Neurospora crassa OR74A: one gene and its partners. The protein of the gene in region 2 purifies or fractionates together with the protein of the main gene of each other region. This does not show direct contact. Links are inferred from orthologs where the notes say so. Each region holds a gene or a part of one and is shown on either strand. Other genes may lie near its edges.

Region 1 (8,208 bases), on a different chromosome or scaffold from region 2:
AGAGACCGGATCCTCGAGAATCTGCCTACCTCCCCAAGGACTGGACAGCAAGGATCGATAGAAGACTCAGACACACACACCCACACCCACACCCACACCCACACCCACACCCACACCTAGACACAACACCACAGCCATGAACGTCGACACCATCTCCGACTTCCTCGCCGAGCAGCGCGACCAGGCGCCCGAAGAACTCCAACCCCTCGTCCTTGAGTTCGAGACACTATGGGAGCGCAAGCTGTGGCATCAGCTCACCAACCTGCTGCTTGAGTTCTTCAACCACCCCGGCAGTGCCCCGCAGAGGCTACAGTTCTACAAGGTCTTCATTCTCAAGTTCGCCGACAAGATCAACCAGCTCAAGCTCGTTGATCTTGCTCTCAAGGCCGCCACACAATGTAGAGGTGCGCAGACGGTCTTCATTTCCTCTGCTTCCAAACATGCATCTGGCAGCTAGCACTAACCACGCCTGGGTGCGCAAACCGTAGACAACCAAGAGCGCCTCTCCTTTTTGGAAGCCGTCGTCAAGAAGGTCGACCACGAAGACTCTCAAGACGCCTATGTATTCGCCACGATCGCCGTTGCCCGCGTGAAGCTCGACCTCTCCGACCTTGACGGCGCGCGCAAGGACCTGGACACGGCCGAGCGAATCCTCGACAACTTCGACTCGGTGGAGTCGGTCGTGCACGCCGCCTTCTACGACACCAACGCCAAATACTTCCAAGCCAAGTCCGACTGGGGCTCCTACTACAAGAACGCGCTGCTGTACCTCGCCTGCATCGACGTCAAGTCACTTTCACTCGAGGAGCAGCGCCAGCGCGCCTACAACCTGGCCATCGCGGCCCTCGTCAGCTCGAGCATCTACAACTTTGGCGAGCTTCTGCTGCACCCCATCCTCGACGCCCTCACCATCGACGACCGGCACAAGTGGCTGCACCAGCTCCTCTTTGCCTTCAACCGCGGCGACCTTGCCGCATACGACCTACTGGCCAGCCACATCAGCTCGGACCCGCTGCTGGCGCAGCACACGCGCCAGCTGCGCGAGAAGATCTATCTGGCGGCGCTGACCGAGGCCGTGTTTCGCCGCCCGCCCCATGACCGCGCCATGTCTTTCTCCACCATTGCGAACGAGACCAAGGTACACCCCGACGAGATCGAGCACCTGATCATGAAGGCGCTGAGCTTGGATCTACTGCGGGGCACGATCGACCAGGTTGACGAGGTGGCCCACATCAACTGGGTGCAGCCCAAGGTGTTGGACATGCAGCAGATCAAGAACATGAGGCAACGGCTGCAAGAGTGGGATTCCAGTGTTGACAAGCTGGGTAACTGGATCGAGGGTGTGGGCCAGGATGTTTGGGCTTAAAGGGTGGACGAATCTACGGACGGTGTGAGGAGATGGGAACAATTCGGGCGTTCAAACGGATGGCATCAAACCTGGAGATACAGGAGTAAACCTAATGCTTAGATCAGGGAACAAGGCCAGCTAAAGGCATGATGTTATTCCGCTGCATGAGGCAGACCGACTTTGCATGATACATATGAATACCCATAACGCATGACAACGCCCACGGCGTACGTCCTCCATTCTCTAAAAATCCAGGCCCATGCTTTGGCCTGAGTTATGTCTATGTGAATCCTCTCCATGTACGCTCCATGAACAAAGGCAAATCCAAAATACGCCGGCAAAATATGCTTCCTTGAACGCCGCAAAAAGATCAAGTAGTGTACAAAACGTAAATGAGCCATCTGGCACGTGTTTACTGGAAACAACATCATACACAGGAAAAAAATATTTGCTGCTTACTTGCCCCTACTCGTACACCGTTTATCCGAGCTCAAGACAGGGACCGAACAATGTAAAAGAGAAGATAGGCCTTTGCGTTTAGCACATCAGACTTCTGGGCCAGTTCAACTTTGTGATCGTTAAATGCGAACCACTTAAATAAATGTGCCAAAGGCAGCGGGTCAGCAAGTCTAACCCTTCAGGAACTAGATGTGTGTCATGGTTCACTAGTCAGACTCACCTGGTCGCCAACCCGGCAATAAGAAATGTAGTGTCCGGTATCCATGTCGCCAACGTGCACAACAACGCATAGAAGATCGTAAGTGCAGGACCGCTGTAGCTCGTAGTTATCTTTGAGATCCTGTGTTCGTGCGCGTGTCGTATAAGGCAGCATGTTGAGTTGTAAAGGAAACTGGACAGGTGTCTCGATCTTCTGGGCACGATCATTACGCCCTTGTTTGAACTCGAACCTCTGTTGGCAACTGTCAGCTTCTGTTGTCTCCAAGCGAAGCCAGCGGTAACGGCCAGTAAGGAATGTGCATGAGGAAGGATTCCGGTAATCTGACCTTGAGCTGGATAGAAAGAACGTTGGGTAATTTCTTGATACTGGTCTGTCTTCTTGCTTGCTGTACTGAATTGCAGTTCTGACACCGATACTCGCACTTATCGGATTTGATGTATTCTTCGTCCAAGCATTCCTGGAGAGTCACGCTGTTTTGCGTTCTTGTCGATGCGACCCCGTCGCCATTCGTCAAGTTCTTCTTGCCCCTTTTTTGCGTCAAATTTTCCAAGGGAACACTGAGATCCAAAAAGCTCTGGGCTTGATTGGTGACGCCCCCACAGTTTTGGCACGTTGTGGACGTCTGTAACTTTCCGTAGTATGTTTGGTGGATGATGCAGTTGCAGGTATGCTCACTGCCAATTTCCGGTCTCTTGCCGTCGCCATTTCTCTCGTGTAATTCCTCAGCCATGAACTGGAAAAACTCATGAGCATCTTGCTCCTTGTTGGCTACCAAGTTCTCAAACGCCTTGTTCTCGCTGATCCAGAATCCGGACAAGATATTTGCGGCGGTATAACCGTTCGTCGTTTCGCTGGCATAAAATTCCTGGAACATATCGTCCATGGCACAACTGAGGCAATGGGGTGTGTCGCAACTGCCTGACTGATGCCCATCACTCAGGTAGAAGTTGCGTAGTATGGGATTGTGGAGGAATGATTGGAGGACAACGTTTTGATAGCAAGTTGCTCCGGCATTATAGATACCACGGAGACCGTTAGCCTTGCAGGTGGCGAGGGTGGTGTTGGTCGATATATACTGGGGAGCGTCTTTTACGGGATCAGGGGCGAAGAGTTCCTCATGTTTACGCTTTCGGCCTGTGATAGAAATACAGATTAGTAACAGCCAAGGCTCATCGACATAGGAGAAGGTACCGGGCATAAGCCCCCATGGGTAAGACGGAGAAAAGGACAGAAAAACATACTACCGAAAAACGACCCTGTGCCGAGCTTCTTTAACCTCAAATCCTCAAAGGTAGGGTCCCACACAATATCATCACACATTTGGCAATACACCGCTCCGCTCCTCGACTCAACATCTGATTACAACTGTCAGTTTCCTTGCCCCATGATTTGGCTCCTTCTGGCAGAGGCAGCGAACGTACAGAAGCGATGTGATTTTTTGTTGCCGTGTTTTGTAAGGTCATCGTCGGTGAGAGTCGAGGGGCATTGCAGACAGAGGTAGGTTGGGGTAATGGATGTTACAACCTGGCCATCTACGCCCTTGGCCGTGTGTGACAGGATAGGGTTGATGTCGAAGATGGCTCGCAGAATGGTCTTGTAATGTTGTATGGACATGTTGATCGTCGCTTGATCTTGGTTAAAGAGACGGCCGACATGCTCTAGAAGAGGTTAGAAAATAAGGCCGTGTAGCAGGGACAAGAATGGGCCATCTTACCACATCCATACATTGGCTGGCCGGGCTGGGGCTCCTTGACCTTGTGGTCCTTGGAGGACGCAGCGTTGGCCGACATGGTGATGTGATTGTTCGCTCGTCGAAAGCCCCAAATGTGAAGCCCGTGTGTGCTAGTAGTTCTGAAGGGGAGGAGCTGTGTTCGAATCCGCAGTGGTTGGAGCGGTCCGTGACCGGGTTAGCAACGAGGACGAGTGTTGCTTCAGACGCTGGGGATGATGTTCCTGGACTTTCGGCTCGTAAGAATCGAAACAATGGGTGAATCTAGCTGCAGAATTGGCTTTATTGAGCCTGGCTTTTCACCAGTTGAGATGGCTTGTAAGGGTCGTGGCGAGGCCGGCAAATCGCGTTCCGCTCGGGAAAGAGCACAGTTCCCGGCGGTTCGGTCCAAGTACCTGGAATAAGAGGACTTGTTAGCAGCGATGCACGTCAATTAACGGTCGCGCTTTTTCTATTGGCAACATTTGCTGGTGATTTCCGTCTTACCGTCTATCAAAGCAACGTGTACAAAGCCGGTAAAGTAGCAACAGGGATCTTCTCTGGTTGTGTTGGTTCTCCCGAAGCAAGATGGGTTTGAAGTTGTTCGGGGTTGGAATCTCCATCCGATTTCCGCGGCGTCAACATGGGCAATCAATCAATGGACGCCAACTGCACTTGCATGGACGGCAGCGACATGAACGGCTTATCGAACGCTACCTACGCAAGGCTTATCGATAACGAGAAAGGGGACAGAACCAAAGGGTGGAACCTTTTCAACGCATATAAGTACCTAGGTATGTAACTCTTCGTTGTGTCTGATTGGCCCGTAGCACTCATACAGAGCGTGCAGCGAGGTACCTGAGACGGAGTCTGAGGATCTCTGTACATCTCAACCGAGGTGTCTGCCAGGCCTGCATTTCACTTCACAATCAATTCTCCCAACGACAAGGCAACCTCCAGCGCGAGCCATCGTCATTTGAGAAGCTAGACTTCAGAAAATCAGAACTTTCTGGAGGCTGATTCGGCTCTCTTCCGTGCTTCATGGTCCAAAGGGTTGGCAGCACATCTAGAGGTATCCTCTATCGTCTGTATCGATTCATTGTGACCGATGATGTAGCTGTGTGTCAAATGCCCCTGTCATGACAAAATCCACGCAGACAACAAGCCGTTGATACAGTCTCTAAACTCATCAGTTATAGCTAAGTATGTCAAGAAATTGAAGCGATTCGGACAAGCACGCAAACACCATCAAAAAGGTTGCGTTCCTGGGAGATGTGGTATCAACAGAAAAGGGATTCTTTAGGCCACCACTTGCAACACGTTCTCACAACGGACTTGAACTTGGCGAGCCCGGCCAGCAAACCATCCACCCCGAGTCCGGCTCATATGGCCGATTCGCCAGGTGATCTTCGGAGCTTGCGTGGGTGGTAGCCGGACATTGATTATGTGCGATGGTATCATTGCCGACGCCTCGGCTCGGCAGTACCCCGCAGTCTGTTAACTAGCTCTCTCTCTCTCTATACGCGGTACTCCCACCTCACCAGGACGCAATATCCCACCGTGTTTCACACCAAGTAAGGTTCTCATTCGGAATTGTCACTACTTCCTGTGTGTCGTTCATTTTTTGCCCGTACTACTCCTGGTCCTGGATGTCCTCACCTGTCATCCCGCTCCTGGGACTCTCAACCAGGCCATCATTGTATCGAACTTCATCATCATTTAATACTCGGCTATCTCGCCTTTCCAAGATCCCATATCAACATCTGAAAACAGATCACAAGCATAACCGCAGTATCACCATGTCTTCATCTGCAGTCCAACCGCGAATTACTCCTCTCCCCGAAGTCACCCGCCTCAGCCCAACTGTCATCCGCATCCTCGGCGGCAACCCCGGCAAATTCACCCTCCAGGGAACCAACACCTATCTAGTCGGCACCGGCCCCCAGCGTCTCCTTGTCGACTCAGGCGCCGGCGAGCGCTCCTGGATCTCCGCCCTACAACGGACCCTCACCGACGAGAAAGCTCACATATCAGCCGCCATCATCACTCACTGGCACCACGACCACACCGGCGGGATCCGGCACCTGCTCGACTGGAACAGCAAGATCAAAGTCTACAAGAACCAACCCACCTACCTACCAGGCTACCACGGCAGTCCAGTCTCGCTCGAGCAAATTGGCACTCCACTTCTCCCCATCGAAGACGGGCAAGAGTTCAGCGTGGAGGGCGCCACGCTTAAAGCGGTGCACACCCCAGGCCACACGGTCGACCACATGGTTCTCCACCTGGCCGAGGAGGACGCGCTCTTCACGGGAGACAATGTGCTGGGCCACGGGACGGCCGTGTACGAGGATCTGGGGGTGTACCTGAACAGTCTGGAGCAAATGCGAGGGCTGTTTAAGGGGAAGGGGTATCCGGGCCACGGACCGGTGGTGGAGGACGGGCCGGGCAAGATTGGAGAATATATTAGGCATCGGCAGCAGAGGGAGGACCAAGTTATTGCAACGTTAAAGAGAGACAGTGAAGATGGATGGACGCCGATGGAGTTGGTCAAGGTTATCTATCAGGGCGTACCGGAAACTTTGCATATACCGGCCGCTGGAGGGGTGACGCAGATCCTTTATAAATTGAGGAAAGAGGGGAAGGTGACGACGGCAGATGGTGGCGATCGATGGCGGCTGACTGATCGATCGGCCCTGTGAGAAGATGGCGCATGGCGCTCAGGGTCACAACGTGGGAAGAACCAGCCAGCCGGTTCTTGGGCTGAATTGCGCATGATGTATGTATGAGGGTGATGATGATGATGATGATGATAGTGATGGGTGGAGTAGAACCCATTCAGGGTTCGGAACTGGTGCCGTTTGTCGCTTGTCGCTTCGCTCTCTCCCCAGAGCCGCGAGTGTGATGTGCATTGCACTCGAATCCTTTTGGGGCACTGTACTATGTATGTACACAATGATCGCCCGTAGCCTTGACAGCATGCACGGTGCAGTGGATTTATGACTGGCGCGCCAGTTCATGACACCAAGTTCGCCTGACGAGGTTCCCGTTTTCGTACGGATCCTTGTGTAGTAGCCAGCACCCAGTCAACCCTAGTAAGCGAAACGGCCCGGGGACGGTCCAGCGTACATAGTATATACTAGACTAGGTTTCAAGACATTGTTACCCCGTCCCTAGCTGGAGCGCCTGGAGCACAGGAAACGACTGTTTACGCGGTTCGTGTGCAATGCACATTTCCGGCTCTTAGGTTGGTACGGATGGAGTCGGGTGCTATGTTGTATGTAAGTAGTGTACAACGAGTGGGCGTGTAGTTGAACCATATGTGCACTACAGTGACAACCGAAACCACCATCATTCAGCCCTAGCGTGCCCGTGACGTCAGTCCATGACGGAGCTGAGTGGATGCCGCTTTGGGGTAGCTCGCTTTCATCGCAGGAGCAGAGCCTCAGATGACAACCGACGACCGCCCGTGTGGGACGGCTTTCAGTGCCAAAATACACATCTCATACCGCTCGAATCTCATGCCGGCCGTTCAGGTTGGTGCCAGCCGGCGCACGGTGTTGTGGTTCGGCTCGGCTCTCGGAACCGGGACGTCGGTCTGTCTGCCACAGAAAATGGAACACAGGGCTGGCTCATCGGCATTCGATGGATCCCGGCGATGCGGTCTCACCGAGTTTCTGCAAGGGTGGGTTCCCGTCTCTTTGCACTCCAGTATGGATCCCCCGTCGTGCCACCCGAGTTATCCCAACCCGAGCATGAGAGAGGACCGCTCCGGCCCGGCCGTTAGTGGATTCCGAATACTCCCGTTTTGTTTATGCGTTCGAAACAGAAACGTTTTGCCATCCCATGTTTTGTGTTTGTGTACATAGTAGGTATGGAACCTACAATACAAATAGTTTTGTTGTTTTGCGATGTGCCGAAGCCAGTAAACATATCTGTCAGCATGTGATTGATTCGCGAGTCTATGACCAGTACGTAGATTCATTTGTTGATCAACGCGGTCTCAGTAACTGAGTACCTAATGGCTCTCGCGAAGCCGTAATGTCTTTTGGGAGTTATGTATGTACGACTCTTCAGCGCGAGCCATGGCATAATCTCGGGCGTCCCCACATCGCGGGACGGAGAGAGAGAAAAAAAAAAAAAAAAGGAAAAAAAAAGGTTTTCTGCTTCGTCGTTTTCCTGGATTTCCGAGACGTCCGCCCACATGTGGATTCTAGTTGGATCTCGTGCGATACACTTACAAACCACTGCAAGGACGCTAGGGGACAGTGCCCATGTGGCTGAATTTTACACGTTGATAGGTACTGTCGATCCAGGAACCACACCAATCATGAGACTGACCAATGTCACTGATACATCATTTCTGTTATTCAGCGGAAGTAATGGCTCCCAAACTCCGATATAAGCGGCATACATACACACTCCACGAAAAGGGAAGCATGTTCGCGCCTTGTTGCTGACAGGGACCATGGG
Region 2 (7,317 bases):
ATCTTTTCCCGGAGGTCGACGATCTTGCCGTTGTAGAGGGCTGCGTCGTCCATAAAAAGCAGCTTGGGATTAACTTGCACCGTCCGCTGCAGGATGCCCTTGGTGCCCATGTCGGTAGAGCTGCTGCTGAAGATGGCGCCCAGCCACGAGGTGGCCAGCCAGACGAGCAGTGTGTCGATGCTGTTGGAACCCACAATGACCACAATGTCGCCCTTCTTGACTCCACGCGCCTTCATCGCGGCGGCTAGTCTCCCTGCTCGCTCGCGCAGCTCGCCGTAGGTGGCATCGCGGGTTTCGCTTGCGCCTTCACGCACCTCGGTCACGGCTACCTTGTCGTCTTCCTTCCCTACTGTGGATCGGATTTGACTTGAAGAGCTGCCCTTGGGTCGGGAGTAGAGCACGTTCTCGGCGTAGCTGAGCTTGACGCCCTCGAACCAGATGGGAACGGCGTCAATGGGGGCGGATTCGTCGACTACTCTGCTGTAGGTGCCTTCGTGGATATAGTTGGCTTCCTCCCAGACGTCTGCCCAGAATTGCGAGCGGTTTCGGAGGGAGTATTCATGGAGCTCCGAAAAGGTCTAAAAGGAATATTGTTAACATACCGGGGTACAATGGGTTCAAATGGCGGACATGGAATACTGACCTTCATGTCAAGTCCATGTCGCTTATTCACATTCTGCAAGAACCGCCACATCGGCGTGCTCTCCGGGTCCGGGTGCTCCCAGAGTTTCCTCGGGATCACGTCTGGGCGCATGATGATTTCGTTGATTTCGTCTTCCAATGTGTCCTCGACTTTTGAGTTTGTGATGGTTTCTGTGCTGAGGACTTCCGTAACAACTTCTGCAACCCCTGTAACCCCTGTAACTTCAGTGTTAACTCCCATCTCGACATCCGCAGAGTTCATCACGGCAGTAGGACCAGTCGCAGCCGACGACGACAAAGCCGATAACGGCAATTCCGCTGCCACCGACATCTTTTGGTAAATGGTATCGAAGGCAAAATATGTTACGAAATGGGGGAAAAGAAAGAAAAAAAACAAAATCACTTGGAAGGAATCTCTTACCAAGAGGGAACCGGACGGCTGTCGTTCTTCAACTATATATCCACTTTCCACTTTTCCTTAGCCAACAAACTCTTGACTGCTTCTGGCCCACAGTCAAACAATCCAAGTCGTCCAAGTCGTCCAAGTCGACCAATGCGGCGAAACAGTCAGCTAGGTTAGCTACCTTACCTAGTTCGTTTCAACCTCCTTCACCGCGACACGCGCCAAATGCGATGACGAACGTCGATCAGTAGCAGTATTGGTAGTATGTATATAGTGTGGAATGCAGGTACTCTGGTGCCCGTGATCTGAGACCGCTTTTTCGACGTAGGTGAGGAACCAACAAGCCAATGGCAAAGTGTGCGGTGGAGGACATAGTTGGTGAGCTGGTGTCTTGTGAGAGGCCCCGTCCCTTCTCTGCTGGAGTTTCTGCGAGGTCAAGTGGAAGTCCTGGCTGAGTGACGGTCCAGTCCTGCGGGTGCCTCTGAGTAAAAGAGGTCAATCGTTCCTAATGGCTGCTAATGCGGGGAACCGGGGAACCTTTTACCGCTTTTAGCTTGGTATCTAGTGCGGCTGGAAAGCGCTGATCCCCCTCGGACTGCTGGCAAGTTCCCGAAAGTATCACCGACTGCCCGCCCTGGTTGGGCCTCGGCTCGGGAAGCTTATGTGCTTAGTGCTCTGTTTGTTTGCTTTTACTGTGCTGAACTGTGTGCATGCAGGACGGACTTGGTTGGAATTGGGGTCAGGGGGTGGTGCCATTGCTCCAAACTCCGATATCGCCAACTCCGTGATGCGGCTGTGTCGGGGTTTGGGATGAGGGCGAGCAAGCATGTGATTTAATCCGTTACGCACCCGAATGTTGCACCGACGAGCTCATCGAGGATAAGCTCAAGCCACGGCAACTTTATTTCACAGTCTCACAAGCCCAAACATTTCATAAACAGCCCGTAGGCCTTGTGTATCTGAATCATTGCTGCTAACTGATCACTTTTCTACTCCTCTTAACACCAAGAACAATGCAAACTTTGCGCTCCATACAATAACCGTCATGAATGCAGATACAACCCATCATTACCACATACACCCTGTGCTCTGTCCTCCTTTCCTAGCATACAAACTCCAACGTTCCTGTAAAATCTTTTCCTCATAATGAAACACACTTTCAGCGACTCAAACTACCATTCAAACCTCCACCCCTCCATCACAGATACGGCATCCACAACGCCTCACACTGCGCCAGATTCAACGGACTGACCGCCTTCGCAATCAGATCGATGATCGTCTGATACGCCGGCAAGTTGCCCGCCGGCGCCTGAGCCAGCGATGCTGCCCGCTTGACAATCATCTCGCTGTTCGCCTGCACCGTCTCTCTCAGCTGATTGTCCGACAGGTTCAGCGGCCTGTGACTGCTCGTGAACCAAAAGATCATCTCATCACGGACAAACAGCGTCAGCGCGTGCTCGAGCTGGAACTCCGGGTCCGTCAGACAGCGCGCGATCGCCATCATGGAAACGGTAAAGATGCCCTCGAGCGCAAGCGGGCCCATGAGCGTCTGGAGGTTGGGCGTGAGACGGAAGGGCACCGGCTCTGTGTTGCTGAAGTAGGGCTTGTTGGCCGCCATGAGAGCCGTGAGCTCCGAGCCCCAGATGTTACCTGAGCCGCGCGCGATGTTGAACTTGTGCGGGTACCGCTTGTCGATATGCAAGATGTACGTCATGAACGTGAGCGCAGCGAGCTGGTACGAGAAGCGACGCCTGAAGAGCCAGAACTCGGCAAAGTCGGGGAAGATAGCCTGGAAATACTGCAGCACCAGTGTGTGCGGCACCCACTTCTCCTGAATTGCGTTGAGCACTTCAAGACGAGCCGCCGCATTCTGCCCCTGTTCAGATAACTTCTGCATCGACATGTCAGTATTGCTGCTCTCATCTGTTTTATCCATGGGGACCATGCGACTACTTACCGCGTTCGGCAGCTTTCCATCCATGAGCCCGCGCAATTTCTCCATCGTAAAGAGGAATGGCTCATCCTTGTGTACACCCGACCTGCGGCAATGGTCCTCGTAAATGCCCTGGAGAGTGATATACGACGTATCCTCTTGAATAATCCTGATATGAGGAGCAAGAGGTACCATTAAGGGCAGTGTGAACTGGAGATCACGCCTGCGACTCTCCTTCTTGTGGCTCAAGGTCTGATTGAGCTGTCTGAAGAGCTGAAGAAGGCGCTCTTCGCGACGAGACTGTCGCGCCGCAGGATGCTGAACAGCAAACGAATGAACACTACCATCATGGCCGCGGATCTTCAGGCGGCGATGCGACACATTGGAAGTGCGGACGAGATCAACATTGGGCAGGAACCTGTCGATACGGATAAAGTCCTGATTCTTGTCCTTATGCTGCAAATATTGACCTGGAATCTCGACCTCGTCGAACTTCTGATACCGGAACTCGCTAAGATGTGGCGTATAGTGAGAGAAGTTCTCCAAAGGCATGCTTGTGCGACGGCGATCCAGCTTCTCTTCAAACTTGTCGCGCCATTTCCGGAGTTTGTGGATATACTCATACATGGTGGGTTTGGCCTTAACAAACTCTTGTTCAAATGTACCTCGGATGTGAGTCGGCAGTATCGTCTCAGCAAAACGTGTTATATTTGCCTCGGTTGCGACTGGAAGCTTGACGTCTCTGGCATACGAAGTCGGCATACGACTGACATATGACAGGCCGTCGTTAAGGAGTGCAACAATGAGTCTGTATGCGTCTTCGTCAGGTGGGCACTTGAAATGCTTCTGGATCTGATCCACCATGGTCTCCATGGACAGCGCCAGGAGCGGGAACGCCGTCTTCAACATGCTCATGATCTCATCGGTAAGTTCCCAAGGTGGCCTCTTCTGGACGGCCTGTGGCTGCGCACCAGGGACTGCACCCGCAGCGTGATGGCCTGCCGCGACTTGAGCAGGGTTTGGCGGAGGAACGCTGCCTTGACCAGGTGCCACAGGAACACCATTGACTGCACCCTCAGCCTTGACTTCAGGCTTGATCTGTCCAGCAGCATCGCCAGTAGCGGTGGCAGGTCGCGAGTCACCTTCGGGCTTGGGAGTAGCCGTAGCCGTAGCAGCAGGAGTAGGCTGGCCCGGAGTAGCACTTGCCCTGTTGGCGTTTGCGGCTGCGCTTTGAGCTCGTTGCTGCTGTTGCTGTCTCAGACGCTCCTTATTCTCCTGAGCCTTCTTGATTTGCAGCATATCTTCGCGGCTGGTTCGGAGCAGGAAGTAAAGCGCCTGAGGGTAGCTTTTAGCAATCTTGCTCAGGACGACCTGGAGTCTCGGTGCCTCCTTGTGATTGAGTCCGGTGAGCAGCTGAGGGATGTACGTAATCCAATACCATGTCGGTGTCTCGCCCTTAAAGTCGTCGAACCCGCTCGAGATGGTGTTGTTGGCGTCATCGAGACTCAAAAGCCACAGAATCCGTGCAATGAGCTTCCGTGACTTGTGATTCTTATAGCTTGACACGGCTTGCAGGTAGCATGTAAGGGCCTGCTTGGCGGCAAGCACATCAGCCGGGTTTTCCCTGAACTTTCTGTCGTTGAAGTAGCCCCATTCTGCCCACGCCTTAGGGGCCGAGATGTCGTGCGAAAGTGCCATGCCGTAAGCTGTATCAACCTCGTCTTTTTGACCAAGCTTCTCCAGGAACATGCCCTTGAGGGTGAAGAATTCAGCCTTTTGCTGACCTGTAAAGTAGCCGAGATTGGTGTTGTTAATGACCTCCAGCCCATTTTGCAGCTCTTCTGGGTTCTGATAGTGGCACTTGGCCTGCTCCCTCAGCTTGAGGAAGGCCTCTTGAATCTCGATGTTCGGCAAGGTGTAGATGCGGCTGAGTTGGTTGATGCACACTTCGTGGAGGCCATGCTTGCGGGCAACATGCGCGAATCTATTGATAATCCAAGCAGTTTCGTGGAACCCACGGTACGCGAACGAAGCACCACCAGCGCTTTGTCCTCCTTGTTGGGGCAAGAGTTGAAGATATGTGTTGTTGATGAGACCAAAGACGTGTTGTCTCCATGTGACCAGGTCTTGCCATGCGACAATATCATCCCACGTATTAGGAAGACGATCCCGCCATGAGCCGAGGAGCAGCTTAAGCTCACCGGACCGTGCATCGAGGTTGTTCGAGTTGGTTGCGGAAAGACTCTGGCAGATCACACTAGCATCATGAAGCTCAACCAACTGCTGGAAGTTTTGCAAGATCGGGATGTGCGCTGTGGTGAGACGCTTAGGAAGGTGGTGCCATTTCCGGATGGAAAGTTGGATCGCCTCGTCAACAACGCGGTTAAAGTCCTGAAGACTCTCTTGCTTGTTGTGATATTTTAACAACGACATGAAGGCCTGGAAAAAGCTTCTGCGCGGGGTAGGCGCATCCATCAGGCCCTTGATGTGATTGTCCAGTTGCTCCCTGTTCTCTTGGTTTTGCCAGTACTCAGTGTTGCGCCAGATAGACTCCAACAGCAGGTCTTGCATATTCTCATGCTTAGCAAACTCCTGGAGAATGTCCCATTGCTGGAGCTTCTGGGCGCAAAGAACCCAGTGATCCTCCCACAACATGTATTCGCCCTCGGAGAAAGGAATGACGCCCGTCCGCGCTTTTATCTGGGCTGCTTCGTACATCTTTTGGGCTTTGTCCCACATGCCATTCTGCTCGTACGATAGCGCTGCGTTGGTCTCGACAAACTGGCACCGACGACGCCATGTGCCAAAGAAAAGATCTTCCTCACCAAGAGACGCATATAGATCCACCAGTGCGTCGAGGTTGCTTTCCTTGACGATCGCTGAGTCGTCTCCTGGCTTGATGGCAGCGGTCTCCAACTGGCAGAGAGCTGTGTACCACGCGTCAAAGGTCTTAGCCTCAAACTTGAGAACATGGGGTGGTAGCCTGCACTCTGGGAAAGCTTTGGCTGCTCCAGCAAGGAGGGACTGAACCACGTTTGGCCGCTTGTCCATCTGTCTAGAATGGTAATCCTTGGTGAGAAGGGTGACAAGGCCACGCTGAAGCTCAGGTCTATCCTCCTTCAAAGTCGCGGACCAGAACATTGGGAAAAGAACAACCCAGATATCATTGGACAGATTGTTATCAATATGTTGCAGCTGGGTCAAAGGCTCAAGGATGTCTCGCGCCTTGATGTCCCCAAGCTCGGCAATAAAGCGGCGATGGCTTGCCATGAACGCCTCGTATTTATCATCGCTGATCAAGGCTGGTTCTCTGGTATCTTTGGCATAGCTTCCAATGAGTTGAGAGGCTGACAAGGTACGGAAATCGTCCTGGTGTAGCTGAATGGGAAGATTCATATCCACTCCTCCGAAAAGAAGCTGGATTGCCTGCGCCAGCCAGAATGAATCGGCTAGCGTATCCCAGTTCTGAGACAAAATAACATATGCCAATCTAGCACTGGCAGTCCTAGAGAGACTCTTATCGAAGATGGCCATGAAGCGGGTGCGCATATCCACATCCTGAGCTCTCGTTCCTATGAGGAACGCGTGCTCCATTCGCACGGTGAGTTCAGTCCGTGTGATTTTGGGGTCCTCATAAATGCGTAGAACAAGGTTGAGGAATTTCATGAGCATGGTTGGATCTTGCCTGTGCTCAAACGTGATCATCTTGGAAAGAACGGCTGTCTTTTCCTTCAGAGTTGGCCACGTTCCCTCAGAGCGGAATACCCATCCCTCAACCATGTCAAGGATCTTTTCACACAGAGCGGTGTGCAGTGACTTTTCCACAATAGTGGCGAGGACGCTCAGGAAAGGTCTCCGGTTGTCCCCGAGAATGTCCATACGAAGGGATACAGTCTCAATGGCCTTGATGATCAGCCCAGTCTGTATCTCAAGGTCGTATGCGTTCATTTCGGTTGCAGCATTGGCATTGTCTGGCTGTGGTCGGGGGATGCCACCCTGTGCCAACGCCGCATAGTGGGAGACGTGGTCTCTAGCCAACTTGGACTGAAGCGACTTCATGATTGCAGGAATATGCTGGTCGATAGCTGTAGGACGACGGCGACCCAATGACCATAGAATATTGATACCGGAAACGTAATTTGCCGCAGCCATACTCTCCGTGGCAATGCCGGACAGGAACGTGACAACCTCCGAAGTTGGCGCTTCCGTTTCGCCTTCAGCATCAGCATCCTCCATGGGCACATCTTCTGGGACCGCGTCGAGGATTCGCTTGATTATCGGTCGGACGTCTCGGTCACCATCACATTGCTTGTCAGCCGTGTGGAGGCAGTCCTGAATC
Region 3 (7,869 bases), on a different chromosome or scaffold from region 2:
CCGGCGGCCAGACTTTCGGTATCGCTTTCAACGAGGAGAACGTGCAGTTCGTGCCCGAGTTGTACGACCCAGAGTCCAACACCTTCACCGAGCTCTCCCAGAACAACGTCGTCCGCGTCTACCATACCCTCTCAATCCTGCTGCCCGACGGCCGAGTCTTGAACGCCGGTGGCGGTCTCTGCGGCAACTGCTCCGCCAACCACTACGACGGCCAGATCTTCACGCCGCCGTATCTCCTGACAGAGAACGGTGAAGAACGATCTCGTCCCGAGATCCGCACCGAACTGCCTGATACCATCGAAGTCGGAGAGGAACTGAGATTCCACACCGACCGCCGCATCGCATCTGCCTCCTTGGTCCGCCTCTGCAGCGCTACCCACACCGTCAACACCGACCAGCGTCGTGTTCCCCTACCTCTCGGGAGGCGTGTGCCGATGTTCGGTCGCTACCATGTGCAGATCCCCAATGACCCCGGCATCGTCATCCCTGGGTACTGGATGCTGTTTGTCATGGACGAGGCGGGCACCCCCAGCATTGCGAAGACAATTATGATCAAATCCAACGTGAAGACAATTGGAGGAGCGAGCGATGAGCAGAGGCAATGTGAGCATGGAATTCCCTTCCCTGAGTGAATATTTTGCCAAAAGTTGGAAGCTAACACTGAGTGCGCAGATCCCTCGTCGCGGATGAGGTTCCAAATTGAGTTGGCGAAATGATTGTTGTTGTTCTGTGGTGTGAGATGACGAGACATGAAGAAGTTTGTAGATGCATCAAACTTTGGTCAGGAACGGATTGGGAGTCAACCTCCATCTCCTGGTCGTATCCAGCGTGCTGGTTGCTGGTGACTTGTTAGGTCGCTTGGGCGTCCTCGGATGGGACTTGATTGTTGAGCGGTGGTGCTCCGCCGCGGTCTTTCATGATGAATGAGATATGTAACGGAAAAAATGTTAGTTGTAGGGACTATACAAGGATAGGCGTTTGGGTTGTTGTCTACTTTGGTCAAACATGTGTGTGATGTTGTTGTTTTGAGGAGAAATGTGGGGGCCCGTGTCAGCACCCCCGCCCCCTGGTACAGTAGATACCCTAGTAAATGCAACTAATCCAGGCTCTTTGGAGAGGATCGGGAAAAGTTGCGTTTACATGGCATTTTGCAATTACTAAGGTCCCAGTTACATGATAATTGAATCCGGGCCACCAGCCCAGTTGCAATCACTAAGTACCTTTGTATGGACTTGCATTTTCTGGGGGTTGCATTTACTAGGGTATCTACTGTACGTATATGGGATATTAAAACAATCCGTACCCGGAGTGAACCCTCTGGTTGCCTTTTTGGCATGTCTTCCATTGTAGCATCAAAGCTGCATTTGATCCTTAGACGTAAGAGACGAAATGTTGGTGTGGCACGCTAACATTAGGCTTGATGTAAAGGACGTCGCCAATCCAACGAGAGAGAAGAGCCTGACTAGTAGTTGGGTCGGCGACGACCAGCCAATTCCAAGTATTGGAATTAATTTTTTTTTTTTTTTTTTTCAATTATTATTTCAAGGTGCGGTGCAATCTTGCTTTGTAGTTCCTGTCTCTCTTTCAGTCGCTAATCCTGACCGTCTTTTGCTTCTTGGTCCCTGTTGTTGAACTTGGAGTGGTGGAGTGGATGATGTGGGTGATGAGATCTGGGTTTCTGGTACGCTTTTATCAAAAGATACAGGTACCGCTGCATACTTAGCTATGGGACCGGTATAAACAACCGCTACCAAAATAAACATAGAACGCCAGCCCAGACAGGATGAGTATAACTAGACAAGAAGAATTTCAACCTGACAGAAAAGGAAAAAGGCGACGGAATACACATAGGTCTTGTGGCCCATGATCCATTTAGCTTACTGTGGACTGACTGACTGACTTGTTGAAAACTTCAACCCTCCTCAGCGAAGTCAAGAAGCAAAACGTAGTAGAAAGAGAGGATGTCCGGCAAATTAGGAAGAAGGCGATAATAATGAAAGGACCGAAGAAAAGAAGACAACCCAATACCACAGCGTTTTCCAACTTCCTTTGTGATCTTTTCTGCCAACTTTCCTTCTCGCGACACTCGTCGTTGTCCTCTTACTTCACCGGTGAAATCTCGTACCCAATCAACACCTCCGTCGACGTACCATCCCACCCCCTGGTCCCCGCCGCCGAGATCATAATCCTGCTCGTGGGATCGATATACAGACTTGAAATGACGCCCGCCTTGGGGGGACCGGGGACAACCACAAAAGGCACTTTGGAATGCTTCGTCGCTTGCGTCTCGCCCTGCAAGTCCCACAACCGCAAAATGTCGTGCGACGCGCAGATAATATGTCGCCCGTTGGCCATGGGCCGCACGCAACTGACGGCTCCGCTGCCGTTGGGAAATTTCAGGGTGCGCTCGGGCTGCCACCCGCCGCGCGCCTTGTGGATACTGAATTCTTCGACCGTGCCGTTACGTCGGCCGGCATAGATCCAGTTGCCATCGACGGACCAGCAGGCGCCCATGCACCAGGGCGGGACGCCGCGCCGGTTGCCGATACGAGCGACGGGGTCGGGGACCCGTCGGTCCCAGATACGGATGGTGCCGTCAATGGAGGCGGCCATGAAGATGTTGGGGGCCGTTTGGGTGTCGTCGTTTTGCGGGGCAGGAGGAGGGGCTGTGTTGACAACCATGCTGGGGGAGGCTGGGGCGATGGGCTCGAAGGGGATAGGTTCGTGCTCAGTTGGGTGGATGGGGTTCTGGTCTCGTGGTGGTTGTTGTTGTTCCTGATGTTGCTGGGTTTGTTGCTCGGGGTTCGTGGCTGGTTGGTGTCCGAAGTCTGACATAGTGTGACTAGAGTCGCCGTTAAATGTGTCCATGTTGATGGTCCCGTTCTCGGCTGGCTCGATGGCATTGAGCCCGGGTCCCTGAGCAGTGTTCGTGTCCATTATTGTGTCGGTATCCCCCATTGGGAAATCGTCGGTGTGCCCTTGGTTTTTCTGTTCCTCCTCGAGTTCCATGCCCATAGCTCTGGAAAACTCATTGTCGTCGTCATCATCCCCAAAGGCATTCCCACCGCCTATTGTTTCGTTGTCCCCGAAGAGTGACCCTGCAGGACTACCGAACAGCGACTCATGTTCTGGTGACGGGACATCATTCACGGCGCCGTCGTTCGCATTGGATTGCCCCGTCGTATCCATATCGCCATGCGCGCCATTAGAGAAAAAGCCGTTCAAAACTGGCTTCGAGTTGTTACTCTCGAAAGTGTCCGTGATGATCTCGGGATCGCTCGCCTCGGCTGGGATCGGAGCACCCGAAGTCGGTCGTAACTCAATGGCCGATATTTGTCCACCGCTGCCCTCGAACCGCCGTATAACCGAGCCATCGTTGAGGTCCCAGTCCAGCACCGTCTTGTCCCAACTCCCACTCAGCACACTCTTCTCATCAGGCGCCAGTTGTAGCACGCTAACAGCATTAGTGTGCCCGTTCGTCCGCAGGCAGTGTATCCTCTTTCCCTCGTCGTGCCTCACGCTCTGTAAGTTGATGCCACCGCTTTCTAGACCACTCAGAGCCCACAAAGCCTGACGGTGCACCGCTAGACTGTATACCGGAGACAGAATCCTGTCGTCATCTCTAGTGTTCTGTCCTGTCCACTCCTGGTTGTCCCAATAGCTCATGAGCACTCCGGACTTGACAACACTGTCAACAAACGGATGCTTCTGGGCGACAGTGAGTTGTTGCTTGCCATTGATTGTGGCTATGCCGTCAAACTTTCGAATGTAGCCGTCGGATCCGCCCGTCAACCAGTAGCGCATGTCCGGGGTGACGGCTATGGCATTGATGCTGGTGGCTTGTGGGGCGGCCATGGTAGGAACGATGTCGTAGGTGGAAGCCGTAATGTACTCTGGTCTTATCGTTGGTCGCCATTTTGCCCCTGATCCCGAGCCTGAAGGTGTCGCGGAGACGCGTCTGGCTGTCTGGGACGTGGTTTGGTCGGCGGCGTTTGGGTCGTGGGCGTTTTGTGCTTGGGATTCGTCGAAGGGTTCTGCTTCCGGTTCGGGTTCTGGGTCTCGCTCGGGCTCGTCTTGGTCTTCCTGGTCTTCCTCTTCGTCTTCATTAAAGTCTTCGCCGTAGGTGTCGTTCTCGGCATCATCAGCGTCCTCCATGAGCTCGTCCTGCTCATTGTCGGAGCTTCCGTATTCTCGATCGTCTTCGTCCATTGTCCGTGTTGGTAGTGGTTCCGTAGAGGAGTTCAACTATACACGTGGTTATGCCAGGCATATAAGGGTATTGTATTCGATATCGTGTGACTGCTGTACCCAAGAGAAGAAAGTGGGAAAGTTGTGGGGGAAAGCAACCGGAAAGAGATGACAACGGGAGGAAGACGTTCCCAGTCCTGAAGGTTCCCGAATCGAAGCTACACTACATGCAACTGCGGCAGGCATTGATAAGGTTCAACCTCAGTGTTAAGCTTTAGCGGATCAGCAGGCCCGGAACGCTAACACCCCGCATCCCCCGCCGATTGCCAAACATAACAGGGTCAAGTCCTTGAGCTGTTGGCGGTTCAATGTGCCTGAGGTGGTTTTTGTTTGGCGGGCATGCAGCGACCACGCATTGTCCAATTACATGCAGGGCCATCAAGGTGCTTTCCATGTCAACCTCCTGGAATCAGTTCAAGATATCTTGCTGGCTAACATAATGCAAACAGAACGACGTCATGGAAATACGGAAATGAAGACAAGGTGGCAAGATAATGACAAGGAAATCCAACATGGATTGCGATACATCCAAAAGAAATCAAACCCCGAGCAAACAATGCAAACGTACTAGCGAAACCGAATCCTAGAAACAAATGAGGGCCTTATCCAACTCCGCCTCGGGTATGTATACTTCTCTTTTCTTTTCTTCTCTTCTCTTCTCTTCTCTTCTCTTCTCTTCCGAATATGACTGGGCCTAGCCGTTGCCTGGCCTCCATTATCCAAACTCAATCAGTCAGTTCCAGCCCCGTCTCACCTTCGTTCAGCACCACTACCACATACCGCCTCGAGCCCTCTGGCAACTCTTGCTCGGCCGCTTCGTCTGTCGTCTCCTCCGAGATGTGCATTGCAAGATCATGTAACTTCGGATCAGCCTTTGACAACACCTCAGGCGAACCATCGCGATTGATGGCTACGATGTAATGTGGTCGGCTTTGGAGCAGCTCAGGCGGCGCCGCGCCCTCTTCGAATACCACTACGTGCTTCTTGCTTTTAGAGTCCACGGATTCTTCGTCGCCGTTCTTGTTTGACTGTTTTGAGGATTGATCAACCGCGTAGCGGTTTCCAGTAACCAGGAGCGGATCTGTCTCCGGCAGGTGAGGAACCATCTTCATAAGGAGGCGATGCTCGGGGTTCTGGAGACGTGCCGGGATCGGTAAGTCGGTCTCGAAGGATGCTTGAAAGCGGAGTTGGGAGGCTGTAGAGCCGTCTGGCTGAAAACCTTCGCCCGGTGGCAGCGTGGACTGCGTGGTGGTTGCGAGGGAAAAGTTGCCTACGCTAAATTGTCGGCGACGAGTCTTGCTCGTGGAGGAGCTGCTCGATCCCGATGTCAAGTTGCTCCGCTCCGTTTTAGGTGCATGGAGAATTTCGTGATGAAGCTTGTCAAGACCTCCACTATGGCTTGTATGTGGATCTTGGTAGTAAGGCGACCTGTCAGGCGGATCGCCCTTGTCCAGCAAAGGTGCCGCCTCCTCGTCAGACGAATCTGCTGACGATGTTCCGGCGCTCTCAAAATTGGCTTCGGTGAGCAGCCCGCCCAAGAAGAATAATGCGGTTAGTCCTGCGCACCCGCACACCCATGAAAGCGTTGTAGTCAGCCCTCCCCAGCCCGAAACTCCCATAACGGCTACAACAAGAAGTGGGCCAACGAAACTGCCCCAGGCATTGGCGAGACTGGGTAGACTTTCAGCCTTTGCTGCGCCAGTTGACAGGCCACCCGTTCCAAGTACATCCTCTCCACCGGCGACTGCATCGAGAATCTCCTTCACTAACGGCTCGCCGCAGAGACCGAAGGCTACAGAGATCCAGCCAAGGGTAGCCAGTAGTGCCGTCTGAACGGTCATCTTGTTCTGGGTCAACCCGCCTAGACAAGTGAAAGCTGGAGCAGCCGCAATGAAACCGAATGATGTTAGCAATCGAGAAGCCTGCGCGTACCGTGCCGTAAGCGGGGTCGTTAAGAGGCCGACCAAAGCCGCCGGAGCCGAAAGGGGGACGAAGACGAAGCCGCTGGCAGCCATGGGCCATTCGAATGTTCGCTGCACGAAAATCGGTAGCACACTTTGTAGCGCTGATCCGATCAGGCTAAGTGCGATGTATCCTCCCATGGGCACAACAAGTCGCAACATGGAGGGCGTCAGCACTCCCTCTTGAGTACCAGTAACTTCGGAGGCCGCCAGGCTGGGCCGTCTGATCGATCGGTTGGAGACATGGCAGGGAGACACTTCTCTCGAGGAATACCCCCCGCCGGAGGAGAGAGTTCCATAGTTTCGCGAATCTTCACGAGAGGCAAGGAGACCCTCTGCCTCGTGTCGATCGCCTCTTGCCCTGGGATATCTGCCCGGCGGCAGTAACACCGCTACGAGACTTCCAAACACAACCGTCAAAGCAATAACGGCATAAGCCAGTGTAAAGACCGCCGCCTGCCCGCCAAAGAAACCATGCAGCAATCCTGCAGACACCGGGCCGACCGAGATGGCGAAATTCTGGATAAACGCCGGTGTCATCCATGTCAGCACGTCGACAGCAGCAGTTTCGTCGTCGCCTCCGCCCTCTTCATCATCGCCTTCGCTGGCAGTCAAGACCACACCGGCAACCAAGCTGGAGCTGGCTCTCGCAATGGCCACACCTGCGATACCGTGTAGGGCGCGTGAGAGGACGAGGAAGAATAGATTGCGGTAGAATTGAAGCAGGACAAAGGAGCCCGCCGCTAGAGCAAGCCCGCCGAACAGGAGGACCCAAAGAAGAGGGCCTTGGCGGGTAAGGTAGGGGACGGATGCTGAACAGCAGTCAAAAGTGTCAATAAAACCTGAACGAAGCTTGCGTGTGTGTCGCCGGATGGAGGTTGGTGACTTACAAGATACCGCTGCGAATGTGCCACCATATGTTGAGATAAGGATCGATGTCCAAAACTGCACTGGAAAGCAAAAAGATGTTAGTTCATCACTGCTGTCTGTGAAAAGGCGCAGTTGCTTGAACTTAACATACCATGCTTGTGGTGTACTCCCGCTCTGGTTTCCAGGATGGTGGGAATAAGAGGGACCAACAGCGCCGTCAGAAAAGCATCGGTGAACTGGGCAGCCTTGGCGACTACTATGAGAAGCGACATGGTGGTGTTGATGTCTGGCTGAGTAAGGCCGAAAGTGGTGTCATGAAAACACGAAGGTAGGCGACGGTGGCTGTAATGGCCGCGACCGTCGAATCTGGTTGAAAGTGGATGATGATAGTAATTCACGTTGCCGTCGTGGGTGCTGCTGGGATCGCCGGTATGGATAGCGAGAGGCGGCGGTGGTGATGTTGCGCTTGGTGTTATTCGGTGCGGAGATACGGAACCGGAGGAGGATGGCGGTCGTTGTGGGCTACTCCCGGACCTGCCGCGCGTCGTCGTCAGTTGTGACTGCCACTGTGATTGCGACCAGAGAATGGCCTTAGAAAACAGGCTGGACTCGGCGGTCGTCTCTGTTGCTGTCTCTTCATGACGAGGATTATCCTGTTGTTTTGAAGTTGGGATGATGGCAGCGTCCGGTGGGTCAGGGTTTGTATCTGCACGGGCGGGGCCTGTTGTTGGAACATCCATCCCGTCTGCTTCGTCCCAGCTTTCCGGCCCTGATTTGGATATCTCGCCCT

What was found.
Region 1: the proteins of stk-18 (region 2) and NCU02375 purify together in Saccharomyces cerevisiae (affinity purification with mass spectrometry; 8 studies listed by BioGRID, with this or other methods). This does not show direct contact. The link is inferred for Neurospora crassa OR74A from reciprocal best matches to the Saccharomyces cerevisiae genes TRA1 and UBP8.
Region 3: the proteins of stk-18 (region 2) and NCU09208 purify together in Saccharomyces cerevisiae (affinity purification with mass spectrometry; 7 studies listed by BioGRID, with this or other methods). This does not show direct contact. The link is inferred for Neurospora crassa OR74A from reciprocal best matches to the Saccharomyces cerevisiae genes TRA1 and SPT8.

What each region holds. Positions count from the first base shown.
Region 1 is NC_026507.1:2,709,871-2,718,078, reverse strand, and holds NCU02375 (ubiquitin carboxyl-terminal hydrolase 2), read right to left. Parts: upstream 4,384-8,208; 5' UTR 4,243-4,383; intron 4,152-4,242; 5' UTR 3,818-4,151; coding exon 3,742-3,817; intron 3,686-3,741; coding exon 3,449-3,685; intron 3,383-3,448; coding exon 3,269-3,382; intron 3,162-3,268; coding exon 2,353-3,161; intron 2,259-2,352; coding exon 2,028-2,258; intron 1,941-2,027; coding exon 1,839-1,940; 3' UTR 1,470-1,838; downstream 1-1,469. Other genes in the region: rpn-9 (proteasome regulatory particle subunit), read left to right, coding at 137-404, 489-1,366; NCU02376 (metallo-beta-lactamase domain-containing protein), read left to right, coding at 5,385-6,437. UniProt on the Saccharomyces cerevisiae protein: Histone deubiquitinating enzyme component of the transcription coactivator SAGA complex. SAGA acts as a general cofactor required for essentially all RNA polymerase II transcription.
Region 2 is NC_026505.1:3,820,752-3,828,068, forward strand, and holds the end of stk-18 (histone acetylase complex subunit Paf400), read right to left. Parts: coding exon 3,003-7,317; intron 2,937-3,002; coding exon 2,244-2,936; 3' UTR 1,955-2,243; downstream 1-1,954. Other genes in the region: NCU01378 (acetoacetyl-CoA synthase), read right to left, coding at 1-578, 644-754. UniProt on the Saccharomyces cerevisiae protein: Essential scaffold subunit of the transcription coactivator SAGA complex. SAGA acts as a general cofactor required for essentially all RNA polymerase II transcription.
Region 3 is NC_026501.1:5,838,482-5,846,350, reverse strand, and holds NCU09208 (transcription factor SPT8), read right to left. Parts: upstream 4,384-7,869; 5' UTR 4,210-4,383; coding exon 2,101-4,209; 3' UTR 1,531-2,100; downstream 1-1,530. Other genes in the region: NCU09209 (galactose oxidase), read left to right, coding at 1-603, 673-716; NCU09207 (hypothetical protein), read right to left, coding at 4,974-7,021, 7,100-7,159, 7,231-7,819. UniProt on the Saccharomyces cerevisiae protein: Component of the transcription coactivator SAGA complex. SAGA acts as a general cofactor required for essentially all RNA polymerase II transcription. At the promoters, SAGA is required for transcription pre-initiation complex (PIC) recruitment.